Arabidopsis thaliana: one gene and its partners. The protein of the gene in region 2 interacts with the protein of the main gene of each other region in a biochemical or structural test. Each region holds a gene or a part of one and is shown on either strand. Other genes may lie near its edges.

Region 1 (5,596 bases), on a different chromosome or scaffold from region 2:
TTCCTAAAAAGTAAGCGAATCCAAAATTGTATGTAAATTTATATACATATGTATATATATGAACATATGTTATTATAATTATGAATAAATTATTGCTACTTAGGAACTCAATCAACAAAAGATACATAGATTGAGGCGCTTCTACAAGGTCATCCTAGTCACTTATTAACCTAACATATGTAACACATTGTATAAGCTATTCGAGCATGCCAAATCAATCAAGATCATTATATCATGTTCGACGATCTATCGAAAGTGTACACCAATTGATGATTCTCTATTTCTCTAAATCTAAGAATAACTCGAATTGGTCACATACAAATTTGGATCAGGTAACAGATATATTTTTATTTCATGCAGTTAGGAAATAACATATGGGAAATTTATATCTTACGTTCCACATTGTTCCCGAATCCCGACTAATGTCCCTCTCTTTCAACAAGGTGATAGTAAGATCTTCATTTAATCAACCCGACTCTCTACTTAAAAAATTTCAACCATTTTCTCTAAGAAGTCAGAACACTCCATCATCCCCATTCTAAGCTCAACATAACAACATAACAAGAAAACTGTCATCTTTGTTATCTCATTTCTCGAAGTAAGGGGGGAAATCTCTATATTTATCCCACTAATTATTCATTACTTAGTGGGATATTGTTGTTTTCTAGTGGCGTCACCCCCAAAGTCGACATGAAATATGATATCACGAATCACCTAGCCAAAACTTAGTGTAACATCTTCTCATAATTTTCTTATAGTAAACATGTTCAAAAGTCGACTCACAACCACCAGACAATGGTTTGGTTGTTTTCTGTTTGTTGAATCGTTCATTGACGAGTTCACCCAATACAGATGTCTCAGAAAATTATATTCAAAAGTTATTTTGGTTGTTATTTACAAAAAATGGTATACTAGATCCCAAAATTATTTTACTATTTATTGTTGGTAAAATACTCTTTAGTTTAATATGGTTTTAATAAGAAAAATCAACCGGAGTATCATTAATCTGAACGTATAAAGACATATCATTGAGTTTATCACAAGACAACGTAAATCTACAAGAACACAATAACATAAGTTTAGTGTTTTGTTAGTAAGAATTTGTCTTCGCAAGATAGAATTTTAGAAGTATATATATATATATATATATATACTATTTTATCTTAATTCTTTTTGTTTTATTTTTGGTTTTTAGGTAAGGGTTAGGAGTAATGGGACCATATTGGTGGCATGCTAAATTATTGTGATAAATTTATGCATGGAGGAAAAGATGCCAAATGATTTATGTTATTCACTCATACTCACCTAATGACCTAATCCTTGAATTATTGTTCGAACTTTAAAAATAAAATTTTAATATTGTAAATTAAACAAACAATATAACGTTGTTAGCATGTGTTTATCGTGAAATGTGAATGTAACTAAAAATATTATAAAGGAGTTCTTCCTTTCTTAAAGCATATGCTAATAATAGCGTTTGGTCAAATTAATAAATTATTAGTTTATTTAGTCGTCAACAAATTAATTAGTTAAGCAGACAAGAATCGTTTTTGGAGATAGAGATTCTCACTTGCATTTCACTCTCTTGCAATTTAACATATTAAGACAAACACAAATTTTTGCTTTAGTGAATTATTAGCAACGACTCACGTTATATAGATATGCAAATCTCAAAATTAATTAAGCTAAGACACAGTATTTGATAATTGAGATTACAAATCTTAAATTTTGATTTTTAATATTTTAAAATAACATTATAAAATAAGTAATTAATCTGTTATAAAAAATATATTCTAAAAGTTGACAAAACGACAAATATAAATCGAAAAAATAGGTGAAAAGTTATAGTAAAGTGTTTTTCCACTGAGCTCACAGTTCACTCTTTGGTACAAAAGAAACAATCAGTTAAAATCTAAGTCAATCATTAAAGAGCGTGTGATACACGTGCGACCAAACAGCCGTACGATCTCACTCACTTCCGGTCTTAATTCTTACCGCGTCGATCCAACAGTCGATGGGGTTAAATCGGGATGTGAGTTCATCGAAGCTTCTCTCTCTCTTACAACCATCCACGTTTCCCAATGAAATCTCGCCACGTAATATCCCTAACAACAAATTTACACATTCACCCTCAAGATCAGTTACACATATAATAATCGCAGACGCTCTCCATTTTTCTCCACTACGAAGACTTTCTCCTATCTCTCTCTCTCTCATTAAAAACGTGTTTTTTTTTACCGGTCACCGGTTTATGGAATGACTGATTACCGGCTACAACCAACGATGAATCTTTGGACCACCGACGACAACGCTTCTATGATGGAAGCTTTCATGAGCTCTTCCGATATCTCAACTTTATGGCCTCCGGCGTCGACGACAACCACGACGGCGACGACTGAAACAACTCCGACGCCGGCGATGGAGATTCCGGCACAGGCGGGATTTAATCAAGAGACTCTTCAGCAACGTTTACAAGCTTTGATTGAAGGAACACACGAAGGTTGGACCTACGCTATATTCTGGCAACCGTCGTATGATTTCTCCGGCGCCTCCGTGCTCGGATGGGGAGATGGTTATTACAAAGGTGAAGAAGATAAAGCAAACCCGAGACGGAGATCGAGTTCGCCGCCGTTTTCTACTCCGGCGGATCAGGAGTACAGGAAAAAAGTGTTGAGAGAGCTTAACTCGTTGATCTCCGGTGGTGTTGCTCCGTCGGATGACGCTGTTGATGAGGAGGTGACGGATACGGAATGGTTTTTCTTGGTTTCGATGACGCAGAGCTTCGCTTGCGGTGCGGGATTAGCTGGTAAAGCGTTTGCAACGGGTAACGCGGTTTGGGTTTCCGGGTCAGATCAATTATCCGGGTCGGGTTGTGAACGGGCTAAGCAAGGAGGAGTGTTTGGGATGCATACTATTGCGTGTATTCCTTCGGCGAACGGAGTTGTGGAAGTCGGGTCAACGGAGCCGATCCGACAGAGTTCGGACCTTATTAACAAGGTTCGAATTCTTTTCAATTTCGACGGCGGAGCTGGAGATTTATCGGGTCTTAATTGGAATCTTGACCCGGATCAAGGTGAGAACGACCCGTCTATGTGGATTAATGACCCGATTGGAACACCTGGATCTAACGAACCGGGTAACGGAGCTCCAAGTTCTAGCTCCCAGCTTTTTTCAAAGTCTATTCAGTTTGAGAACGGTAGCTCAAGCACAATAACCGAAAACCCGAATCTGGATCCGACTCCGAGTCCGGTTCATTCTCAGACCCAGAATCCGAAATTCAATAACACTTTCTCCCGAGAACTTAATTTTTCGACGTCAAGTTCTACTTTAGTGAAACCAAGATCCGGCGAGATATTAAACTTCGGCGATGAAGGTAAACGAAGCTCCGGAAACCCGGATCCAAGTTCTTATTCGGGTCAAACACAATTCGAAAACAAAAGAAAGAGGTCGATGGTTTTGAACGAAGATAAAGTTCTATCATTCGGAGATAAAACCGCCGGAGAATCAGATCACTCCGATCTAGAAGCTTCCGTCGTGAAAGAAGTAGCAGTAGAGAAACGTCCAAAGAAACGAGGAAGAAAGCCAGCAAACGGTAGAGAAGAGCCACTAAACCACGTCGAAGCAGAGAGACAAAGACGCGAGAAACTAAACCAAAGATTCTACGCGTTACGAGCGGTTGTACCAAACGTTTCAAAAATGGATAAAGCTTCGTTACTCGGTGACGCAATCGCTTACATCAACGAGCTTAAATCCAAAGTAGTCAAAACAGAGTCAGAGAAACTCCAAATCAAGAACCAGCTCGAGGAAGTGAAACTCGAGCTCGCCGGAAGAAAAGCGAGTGCTAGTGGAGGAGATATGTCGTCTTCGTGTTCTTCGATTAAACCGGTGGGGATGGAGATTGAAGTGAAGATAATTGGTTGGGACGCAATGATTAGAGTTGAATCTAGTAAGAGGAATCATCCGGCGGCGAGGTTGATGTCGGCGTTGATGGATTTGGAGTTGGAAGTGAATCACGCGAGTATGTCGGTGGTTAACGATTTGATGATTCAACAAGCGACGGTGAAGATGGGTTTTAGGATCTATACGCAAGAACAGCTCAGAGCAAGTTTGATTTCAAAAATCGGTTAAAAGGGTGTGTTTTGGGAAGTTTAGAAAGTTATGGGGTCAAATCATAATTAATTCGTTTTAGTGGCTTCAGTAATTTTGTAGATTTTAGTTTTGTAAGAAAAAAATCTTAAAATAGAGCGACAAGTTTCTTCTTTTGCTCTATGTTTGAGTCTGTATCGTTTTATTGTTGTATCTCCTCAATGAGTAAACTTGTATATATTGATATGAGTAATATGAGTTAGTTACTGAAAAAGTTAATATTTCTACACAATTTCATATGATAAAAAAGAAAAAGAAATCGAGTATAAATGGTCTAAAATAAGAGACTAATGGTCATGATCACTGATTTTGTACATATGGTCAAAAATGTCTCTCCTAACACATCAAACTTAGGAAGAGAGACAAATCTTAAGTAAGTTAAGTCGAGAGGGAGACCATATGCACAGTTTTCTTAAGTCAGTGTGATAATGTTTCCTCTTGTCTAATCAATAAGACACAACACACATAAACCTTAGTATAATACTACATGGATCTTCGAATACACAGACAGAGTCACAGACAAGAAAAAGCAAATCACTTGCTTTTGTCTTGATCATTTCCAATATCTACAAAAATAGAAATCTTGAAGAGATTATTGAATCTGAAATCTGCTTTGTTTGTGCATTCTCTTCCTCGATCACCTCGCAAGATCCTCTAGCAACCTGACCAATCCTCAAGAATCAAGTTTTCTTCTTTCTAGCTTCAGCTTTCCAATCTCGACGATGCGGCCTTATCTTCCGTTTAACCGACTCACAAGAACTATCTTGAGCCTTGTTCATAATCAAATGAGCTCTTCTAGCTTCTTTTTTCCAATTTCTATCGCAATAAACCCGCCGCACAAAGTTCTCAACATAACCACTAGGTCCATTAAACTCTAGTCCCTCGTCTTCTTCTTCTTCTTCTTCTTGTTTTCCCATTGTCTCAAACGAAAGATTATCATCGTTACCCGCTTCTTCTTCCCGCATCCGTTTCCTGGCTCGATACCTACGTTGTCTTTCTCTGTTCTTCATTCGACGGATCATGACTTCATCTTTGTCTATCAACCCTTCTTTCTCATCAATGCTCAAACCACCATTGCTCATCTTTCCTTCAATTCCAATTACTCAAAACACTGATAAAACAAACCAAATTCTATTATAAGGTAATGCATTTAAAGGAAAGAATCTAAAGCTCTATAAAACCCTAGAAGCTTCTTAATTCAAAAGCTGAAGACACAAAACACACACAAATGTAATTTTGCAACTAGAGGAGGACCAAATTAGAGATTCGTTAATAGCAATCAACCAGAAATGTAAGACTTCCAAAGAATCAAAATTAGCTAATCGATACAACTAAAAATGTTATTTTGCTTTGCTTTCAAGTTGAGAAAACAGAGAAGTTCGATACTCAAAGAACCTGAATGATTAATTCGATGATTAGGTTAAGAGGCTAAAACCCATATATTACCAAT
Region 2 (4,799 bases):
AGAGAGAGCTCACAGATAGAAAGTGCAGAGATTCCAAGAGGAAGAAAAGCAAAAAGAGAAAGGTGCTTACATAACAACTGCATCGAGTTTAGTTTGAACATCTTCTATAATTCTGTTGGCTTGAAGCTTTTAGCTTACATTGTGTTTATTGATTTGCAGCATTCGAAAAGGCGATCATCAGACTCAAGCTCATCTTCTGAATCTTCAAGTAGTGACAAAGACGAATCTAGGAAGTCAAGGTCAAGTTCTAAGAGGCCAAAGAGGGAGAGGAAACACAAGTCTAGAGGCAGACACTCAAAACCAAAGTAAAGATGAGGCTGATGGTCCTGCACCACAATCAAAATTCTTTGGCAGTCTTAAGAGTTGACACAGTGCAAGACTTGAGATTGTGTTCATCAAATGCTCAATTTTCACCCCGAGGACATGATTTGTACTATCCTCATCTCCCTGCAATATTTCTCTCCCTGCTGTTTTATAAAACAAGAAAGCTGACAGTAATGGCAAGTATTTTGTAGAGGAATTGAAGGTGGGCTATCATAACATAACTATTTCTGAGACAATTTAAGTCTTAAATAACTGCAACAACAAAATGAGGGCAAATTACAAATACGAATAGGAAAAAAAAAAACAGAGAGAACAAATTATCCAAAAGACTGAAATATAAAGTTTGAGACCCATCCCCTTCAACATCTCTCACAAGTATACACAAAAGACAAACAATGATCTTTCCTCCTTTTAAGAATGTTGTCCAAACCAAATAACGCCAAACCCTTATCTCATCTTCATCTCCCAAATGCTGTTCTTCAAACTATTGCTGATATTCTGGATTGAAAGCAAGCGCCTCGCGGTAGATTAGTTCCTTCATCTGCTCCTCTGAGAGTGCATGGTTTTCAAAATCAAAGTTGAAAGGTATTGTACACTCTGGCTCATCGCTTATGTCGTGCAACGAGTTCAGGTATGGATGGGCCAATGCGTCTAAAACTGAATCAAGAATCGAGAATCAAGAATCAATAAGAGGTGATGACTACTAACTAACTCTTAAATAACCAAGAACTCATTATTATTATTCCTTCACTAGATTGAATCTTTTTTCGGGATTTTGGAATGATCCGTACAAGCAATTCCAGTTATTTTGCAAGTTAAAAATGGTATAGAGGTTAGGGACTAACCTGTGATTCTCCGTCTAGGATCAAATGTTAACATCTTCTCGATAAGGTCTATAGCTAAAGGATGCACTGTCGGGAACTTATCAGTGATGGATTGGCGAGGATAAGGTGGAAGCTGTCTTATGTATCGCTTTGCGTTTTCGTTCAAGAACTCGAGCTCTTCTTCTGATGGAGTTCCTATGAGCTGCAAAAAGAAAATGGTCTCGGTCTGTTTCTTTAGTGCTTCAAAGCTTATTTTTGGGTCAAAGAAGGGTTACTACTTACCTCCATGAGCAAGCGAAGCTGATGGACATGATCTCGTCCAGGGAAGAGTGGCTTACGGTCCATTAACTCCATGAAAATACAGCCTACAGACCAAACATCGATAGCTGCAGTATAATCAGAAGAGTTTAAGAGAAGCTCTGGTGCACGGTACCATCTCGTGACAACATATTCAGTCATGAAATCACTCTCAGAAGTGACTCGAGCTAGCCCAAAATCGCAGATTTTTAGGTCGCAGTTTGCGTTCAGGAGGAGATTACTTGGTTTCAAATCCCTGTGAAGCACATTTGCAGAGTGAATGTATTTCAATCCACGGAGGATCTGGTAAAGAAAATACTGCACAAAGAGACAAGTGAAATGGAGTTCAATTAGTCCCCGTTTTCAAGTCGAGTTATATAGGTCAACAAACAATCTCAAAACTCAAAACCTGGCAATGTTCTTCGGATAATGCTTGATTTGACCGAATGATTTGATGGAGATCAGTGTCCATTAACTCATACGCGATGTAAACATCGTTGAAAGCGTTTCTTAATGGTGGCGGGATAATATCTCTGATTGCAACAATCTGATTTAACAGAAAGATGGTAAGTGTTTTATCAATCGGAAATGTTTTACACGTTGCAAACGCCAACATAGATAAACGGTTACATTTTACGATTTGATTTCTAGAATTTAAAATCTTGACGCAGATGGAAAAGATCATACTACTGAATAAGCGCGAAACAATCCGTATCAAACCGAAAAAAATACAAGCACACTGTGTCAACATTCATGTATATTCCCTTAAATCTAAATGCAATAAGCAACCACCAGATACAACACATTCATACACAGAACCTAATCAGCCCATACAATATCAATCAAATATATACATCATCTATTTACCTAAACAATTTTGCATCAGCTAGTAGTTACCATGTTTCGAGTGTATTTAAATCTACAATCCTATTATGTTCTACATAAGACTCTATAAACAGATGACTCTTAGTTAACAAAGAAAGAGCAAAAACTGACATTTTCATGATCCATGTGACGAAGCAGCTTGATCTCACGGAGAGTCCTCTTAGCATCAATCTTATTGTCAAAAGCGTTAGCAATTTTCTTAATCGCAACGCTCTCGTTAGTTTCAGAATTCATAGCCGAACTGCAAAATCAAAATCAAATAAAACCACAAAAGGATAAAGCTTTCATTGAAACAAAAATAAATCCCAATCATAATTAGAGCTCAAAAACGATACAAAGGAATCAATTTTACAAATTGCGGATCAAAAGTAACCAACTTTACCAAAACCCAATCAACAAAAATCATTTTTTATTTCAATTAGAAGCAAAAGCCAAAAATCAAAAGAATCGGAGAAAAATTACCAAACGATGCCATAAGCACCCTTGCCAATAGGCATGATCGGAGGCTTATACTTAGCGGTGACCTCGAAGATGTTTCCAAATATGTTATACTGAATAAACCTACCACCATGGCTAAGAGTCGCCGGAATATTCTCAATCCCAGGCATCTGAGGCGATGGAGCCGCCGCGGGAAAACCTCCAGGAGCTTCTGTCATCTCTGTATCAGCCGCCGGTTGACCTGAACCACCGTCCATGACCGGTAAAGATGAAAGCTTTTGAGGTTGGTGGTGGTGGTGGATCGAGAAGAGGGAAATGGAAAATCTTTTTTTTTTTTTTTTTTTGTAATTTTGGGGTGAGTGAATTATGAATGAAATTGGAGAAATTGATATTCGTTGGTTTTGGGGTCAAAACAGATCTGAGAGACAAGAAGTGAAAGTCATGTGCGTACGGATCTATTAATTTTTTTATTTTTTTTTGGGTCTTCACTTGACCCGTGTGTGTAAGCAAGCAAGCAAGCCACTGTTCAAAGTTTGATCCTTTATTCTCATGTTTAACACTGTTATGGTTACAAACGGCATCGTTTTACATTGACTTATCACCATTTTTTTTTTTGTTCCATTGACTTCCTTCCTTAATCGTTATCATTAACAAGTAACAACAGCATTTTTTTGAATGTAAATGTTGGGTGAAAATGAATCATAGATAAATGTAGTTATTATCATTGATATTATGTTTTTGGGTTGTACTTTAATTTTGAGATTATTTTTGTAACATGAAAAATCGCTAAATTTTATGTAGATTGAAAAACACAAAAACTTATAAACCGCCAAAAGTTATTAGATAGTATCTAAATTAACTATTTAAGTATTTAAAGTTCTCTATCAAGAATTTCGATGAACTTGATAGTCGTATAGTGTGAATGAGGCCACAACATGAAACATGCTTGGTTGAGGGTTATTTGGATTTTTAAAAAGTATGGTGGTTCAATTTGATAATATTCCAAAATTACAAGGATCATCTCAATATTTTTTACATAATGAAGCAATAAATCTCTTCTCTTGTGTTATACAGTTGGGTTCGAACTCGAGACGGCTTGCTTTCTGCCTCTATCCCTCTTTCACACGAGAGCTCTTACTGGGTTTAGGGTTTTCGATAGATTGGTAAGTGGCCACGACACTAAGCGTCACCGAACCAGTTGTCAACTAAATAGGGAAACTTTAGGCTTCTGTCGCATTTAGGCACGATTCTCTGTAGAAGAAAAAAATATCAGCTTTGTTGTATCTTTCGGATTTTCGAGTGATCATCAAACCTTCATCACCAGGTTCCTTTCGATTCCATTTTAATTTTGTGGACTTTGGAGTAATTTGCTTAAAGAACCAATTTTTGATTGATATTTTCTGCTCTCCTTTCATTTTGACATTTTGATCTGGTTTTGAGAACTTTGGTTGAGTAACAGTAGCCTGCGTTTAAAAGATGTTAGCTTTGGATGTATAGATGTAGAGTTAGGTTTCTAATTGCCTTTATTTTTGCTTTGGTTGATGATTTATGGTTGATTGACTCGTTAAAGGGAAGTGCGCTGATTTTGTGGACAATTATGTTAGACTGATGGGCATGAATGTGACCAATTGATTTTCTCTCCGTTTCCATTATGATGCAGAAGAAAGTTCTATTTTGCTGAAATGTTTTGCAACTTTCAGTTGTTCATTCATACCATGATTGTACTCATCTTTGATCTCGTTGTGAGTACTATCACTTACTCTTGGCGTAGTAGTTCTTAGGATGAGGTATAAGTATAACAATTCGAAAATTCGTCGTATTCAATCTGTGTAATCTGTTTTTCACTATATGAACAATATGTCAATGTCCTGCGATGCCTCAGGGCTTCTGGAGTCACTTCTGCAATGTTAAAAAGAGTAATCAAAAGTTGTTATATCATGCTTCAGAGTTCTCTCTTGTTATTCCTCATCTTAGTATTTATGAAACTGTGATATTGAAGATATAACATAATCTAATACTTCTGATACTTGG
Region 3 (4,348 bases), on a different chromosome or scaffold from region 2:
GGTCTAAAGCTCCCCTGATTCTTGTTTGTTTCCACTTGGACTTTGTGTAGATATACTACTGAAACACACTCCCGGGTCTCAACCTGCTCGGTGCCTTGAGCTATTTGCGAGGGAAATGGCTGCCGGATGGACCTCTTGGGGAAACGAACCGCTTCACTTTCAGGACTCGAGATACTTTTTGAAAGTTTAGTGGGCGCATTCCCTAGGGTGTAACCAAGAAAAAGGCTGGCTTGGGCCCTCATGATCGTTTTTCTCTATGACTCATTCTCAAGCTGGGGACAGTTAGGAGAGAACCCTTGGAAAGAAGTGGAAGGTTCGGTTCATCGCAAACGACATCGTTTGAAGAAGACAACACTAGAGTAAGCCTGAAAAAAGTATAGTGTTACTAAAGATTATTTTGTCTCAGAACTGTACCATCAATTTAGTAAGCTTTTTCCTTTTCCTTTCATAAACAGATGATGTTTCAGATAAAATTTAAATATATTATCAGTACAGTAAGATTACATACTATATTAGTATCACTATTCTGCTATTCACTAGATTTCTTTTTCTTTTTCAACAAAATATGAATAAAATAAAGGCAAAAGCGTGTTAAATATAAATTCAATAAGTGACTACTCGTTGGAAGATCATATCTGCTTTGATGGGTCTATTTGTGGGGCAAATCCACTATCCAGTTTTCCTTTTGTGTTCAATGAACTATACAATTGTCAAAAAAAAAAAAACATGAGAATTAAAGAAAATCATCATGACCAATGAAGAGCAGGTCCCAACAATAATTCCGAATTATAGGCTCTGATTGTTATAGCAATCAAACAATATGCTTACAAATCACAAAACAAAATTAACGATATTTCCAAATATAGAGCTTTCCAGTTTGACTTAATAATGTTGTGTGAATATCCTCACATTTCCATTTTCGACTCTCTTTAGTAAATTTTGAAGTAGTAGAATGATGTAGAATGTTTTGTTTTATCAATCACACAGTTTTGTGAAATCACGATTTCCATCCACTATTCAAGAAAAACATCAAGTGGAAGAAATAATAAACCAAAACCATCGCAACAAAATGCATATCACGAGTATAGAATGAACAAACTACACTGTCAAATACTTAATTTAGGACTTAAACTTCGCTTTCAGACAACTTGGTTCGGAAACTTGACCATCCGTCATGTTGATATACACAATCCATCTCAAATGTAGTAGTGAATCACTATATCAGCATGTGTTATCAAACGCAAGTTGTCACTAAGATCGGAGCTTCTAGTTCAAAATGTTGATAAGTATTACGAAAGTACAATTGAATATACCAATTATACATCCAAACACGTCCATGCTTCTCCACTCGAGTTCTCTTTGGAAATCTATATAATCCGTCGGTTTGGTATTTTACTAGTTGTACGTAGTGTCTCCCCTCATATGTATTGAGTCTTTATAGTTTGTTGCCTCGTATACGATAGAAAGTAAAGGCTAAAAAACCATACTATTTCATAAAGGGTTTATTTAGTTAACTTTTAATCTAAACCATGTATCACTCCATTTTACGTATATTCGTTTTCACAAATAATCTACTAAATAATTTTGTAATGTGATAAAATTAAAGAATAAACACATGATACATAAACAGTCAGGACAAAAGTAAGCACTCATTTTCTTCTATTCATACTATAGTGAAACACTATTTTATTTTTATCCATATACTATAGTGACAAATTAATCTAATCATTAAATGTTATGAGGCTCAAAACAATTTGTTTTCTTATTTAACATGGCCGATCCCCTCATAAACCAATCAGATGGTGTGTTTTCCGGTCATACTCGTGTAGGACCCACTTCATTACAATGGCCCCACATGTCTCTCTATCTTTTTCTCCTCTTTATAAAATCAGCTCCTTTTCTTACACAGATTTAGAGAAACACAACATAAAACGTACTTCTTCTTCAAAACGCGAAACCACACTGTAAGTTACGTACACCACCACCTATCCTCACCATTCATCATCGACACGTGGCTGGTTTAACTCAAATCAACGGTGAATTCTTTTTGCTTTTTTATTTTAAATAATGAATGAAAAGATTCTTCTATAATTCCAGCGAAGAAGAAAGAAAAAAAAAAGCGTATTCCTCGTGAGCACTAACTTCTCACTCATTCTTCTTCTTCAGCTGAATCCAAATACCCATTTCCATTTTTAACCGTGGTTGGATTGTTTTGAGAGTTGAAGGAAGAAGATGACGTCTGACGGAGCAACGTCGACGTCAGCTGCAGCTGCAGCAGCAGCGATGGCGACGAGGAGGAAACCGTCGTGGAGAGAGAGGGAGAACAATCGGAGAAGAGAGCGGCGGAGAAGAGCTGTTGCGGCGAAGATTTATACTGGTCTTAGAGCTCAAGGTAACTACAATCTTCCAAAACATTGTGACAACAATGAGGTTCTTAAGGCTCTTTGTTCTGAAGCTGGTTGGGTTGTTGAAGAAGACGGAACTACTTATCGCAAGGTCAGTATCAAACGCATTTTTACTTAGATCTGATGTTATCTGATGATTTAGCTGTTGAATCTGAAGATTTGGATTTGAAATTGGTCAAATTGGGATTTTCTTGGCTATGAATTCGAGGTTTTTAGCTGAGGAAGCTCAGTTTTATTCTAAAATTGGATCGAGATTCCTTGCGGAGAAAGTGACCTTTAGGGTTCTTCTTACTAATTTGAGAACCGAATTAGCTTTACTTTCACTTGGTTACTATATTTAGATCTCTCCTTTAGCTTTTGATTGATTGTGACATTGTGATGTTTTTGGTATTGTTCTATGAGCAACAGGGACACAAGCCTCTACCTGGTGACATGGCTGGATCATCTTCTCGAGCAACTCCTTACTCTTCCCATAACCAAAGTCCTCTTTCTTCCACTTTTGATAGCCCCATCTTATCTTACCAAGTCAGTCCTTCCTCTTCTTCATTCCCGAGTCCTTCTCGAGTTGGTGATCCACACAATATCTCCACAATCTTCCCTTTCCTCAGGAATGGTGGTATTCCTTCATCGCTTCCTCCACTTAGAATCTCAAACAGTGCTCCTGTCACTCCACCAGTGTCATCCCCAACTTCTAGAAACCCCAAACCATTGCCTACTTGGGAATCTTTTACCAAACAATCCATGTCCATGGCTGCTAAACAGTCAATGACTTCTTTGAACTACCCGTTTTATGCGGTGTCTGCACCTGCCAGTCCTACTCATCATCGCCAGTTCCATGCTCCGGCTACTATACCTGAATGTGATGAGTCTGACTCTTCCACTGTTGATTCTGGTCATTGGATAAGCTTTCAAAAGTTTGCACAACAACAGCCATTCTCTGCCTCTATGGTGCCAACCTCGCCTACCTTCAATCTCGTGAAACCTGCACCACAGCAATTGTCTCCAAACACAGCAGCAATCCAAGAGATTGGTCAAAGCTCCGAGTTTAAGTTTGAGAACAGCCAAGTTAAGCCATGGGAAGGGGAGAGGATCCATGATGTGGCTATGGAGGATCTAGAGCTCACGCTTGGAAATGGTAAAGCTCATAGTTGAGATGAAGTATACATGAACCTGTTATGTCATGTCGGAAGGAAGGATTGGAGAATGAGAATTAGTGTGTTGTTCATTCAGTTCATGGTTTTGGTTCTTGTTCTAGAATCGATATTCATTGTACCAGTGAGTTTGTTTCACAACGCATTATTTGTAGATAGAATGTTTAAGATGTATGTTTCTATTATCATTCCTTTTAGGTCTTGAAAACATTACAAATATATTACATGATTAAGTGGCTTGAAATGTAAATTATATATCGGATGATGAAACAGAGAAAAACAAGTGAGGCTAAAACAAAGACTTGGGATGTAATAACAAGATCAGAGAGGTTAAGAAAGAAAAAAAAGACTTGCGATTTTAGCCATAAGATACACAAAAATTCATAATACAAAGAGGAAAGTAGAAGGCATGAAGCAGTAAACATTGGAAAAGGGAGAAATATATTAGAATCACAAATGTCAAGAAACTCGGAAAGTTTTTTTTAGCCTATCTGCTTTTCAGGTGAATCATTCAGAACCATCGGGGAAGCTATCAAGCGCGTCTTGCTTACCGTTAACGTAGAACTCAACGACGGCTTGCATTCTATTGAGCTTATCTGGATGGTAATTCACATGAACAATCACTGGTTTCACTTTCTTCTTCAGTTCATGATTCTTTCTTACAGTCTTGAAAAGGACCTTACTGTTCATAAACTCATACATATCCATGACTCTCTTGGATGCATGTAGCGCAGTGTACTCAGGATGTGAAGGATAAAACAGTTCCTCGTTGAAAACCGCTTGGTCCCACAC

What was found. Proteins that work in one complex are often made in the same cells at the same time.
Region 1: of the proteins of MPK6 (region 2) and MYC2, one has a biochemical effect on the other in vitro, tested with the Arabidopsis thaliana proteins (2 studies listed by BioGRID, with this or other methods).
Region 3: the proteins of MPK6 (region 2) and BES1 form a complex in vitro, tested with the Arabidopsis thaliana proteins (one study listed by BioGRID).

The regions. Positions count from the first base shown.
Region 1 is NC_003070.9:11,797,574-11,803,169, reverse strand, and holds MYC2 (Basic helix-loop-helix (bHLH) DNA-binding family protein), read left to right. Parts: upstream 1-1,762; 5' UTR 1,763-2,256; coding exon 2,257-4,128; 3' UTR 4,129-4,826; downstream 4,827-5,596. Other genes in the region: AT1G32630 (FAM50A-like protein), read right to left, coding at 4,827-5,228.
Region 2 is NC_003071.7:18,136,703-18,141,501, reverse strand, and holds MPK6 (MAP kinase 6), read right to left. Parts: upstream 3,257-4,799; 5' UTR 3,026-3,256; coding exon 2,793-3,025; exon of another isoform or gene 2,572-2,792; coding exon 2,442-2,571; intron 1,993-2,441; coding exon 1,855-1,992; intron 1,764-1,854; coding exon 1,431-1,763; intron 1,351-1,430; coding exon 1,170-1,350; intron 982-1,169; coding exon 809-981; 3' UTR 514-808; downstream 1-513. Other genes in the region: AT2G43795 (corepressor), read left to right, coding at 1-62, 160-367; AT2G43780 (cytochrome oxidase assembly protein), read left to right, coding at 4,451-4,510. UniProt on the Arabidopsis thaliana protein: Mitogen-activated protein kinase (MAPK) which regulates abscisic acid (ABA) responses in a MAPKKK20-MKK5-MPK6 cascade involved in root growth (e.g. root cell division and elongation) and stomatal response.
Region 3 is NC_003070.9:6,686,609-6,690,956, forward strand, and holds BES1 (Brassinosteroid signaling positive regulator (BZR1) family protein), read left to right. Parts: upstream 1-1,926; 5' UTR 1,927-2,071; coding exon 2,072-2,130; exon of another isoform or gene 2,131-2,225; coding exon 2,226-2,496; intron 2,497-2,813; coding exon 2,814-3,557; 3' UTR 3,558-3,803; downstream 3,804-4,348. Other genes in the region: AT1G19340 (Methyltransferase MT-A70 family protein), read left to right, coding at 51-190; RRA3 (Nucleotide-diphospho-sugar transferase family protein), read right to left, coding at 4,064-4,348. UniProt on the Arabidopsis thaliana protein: Positive regulator of brassinosteroid (BR) signaling. Transcription factor that activates target gene expression by binding specifically to the DNA sequence 5'-CANNTG-3'(E box) through its N-terminal domain.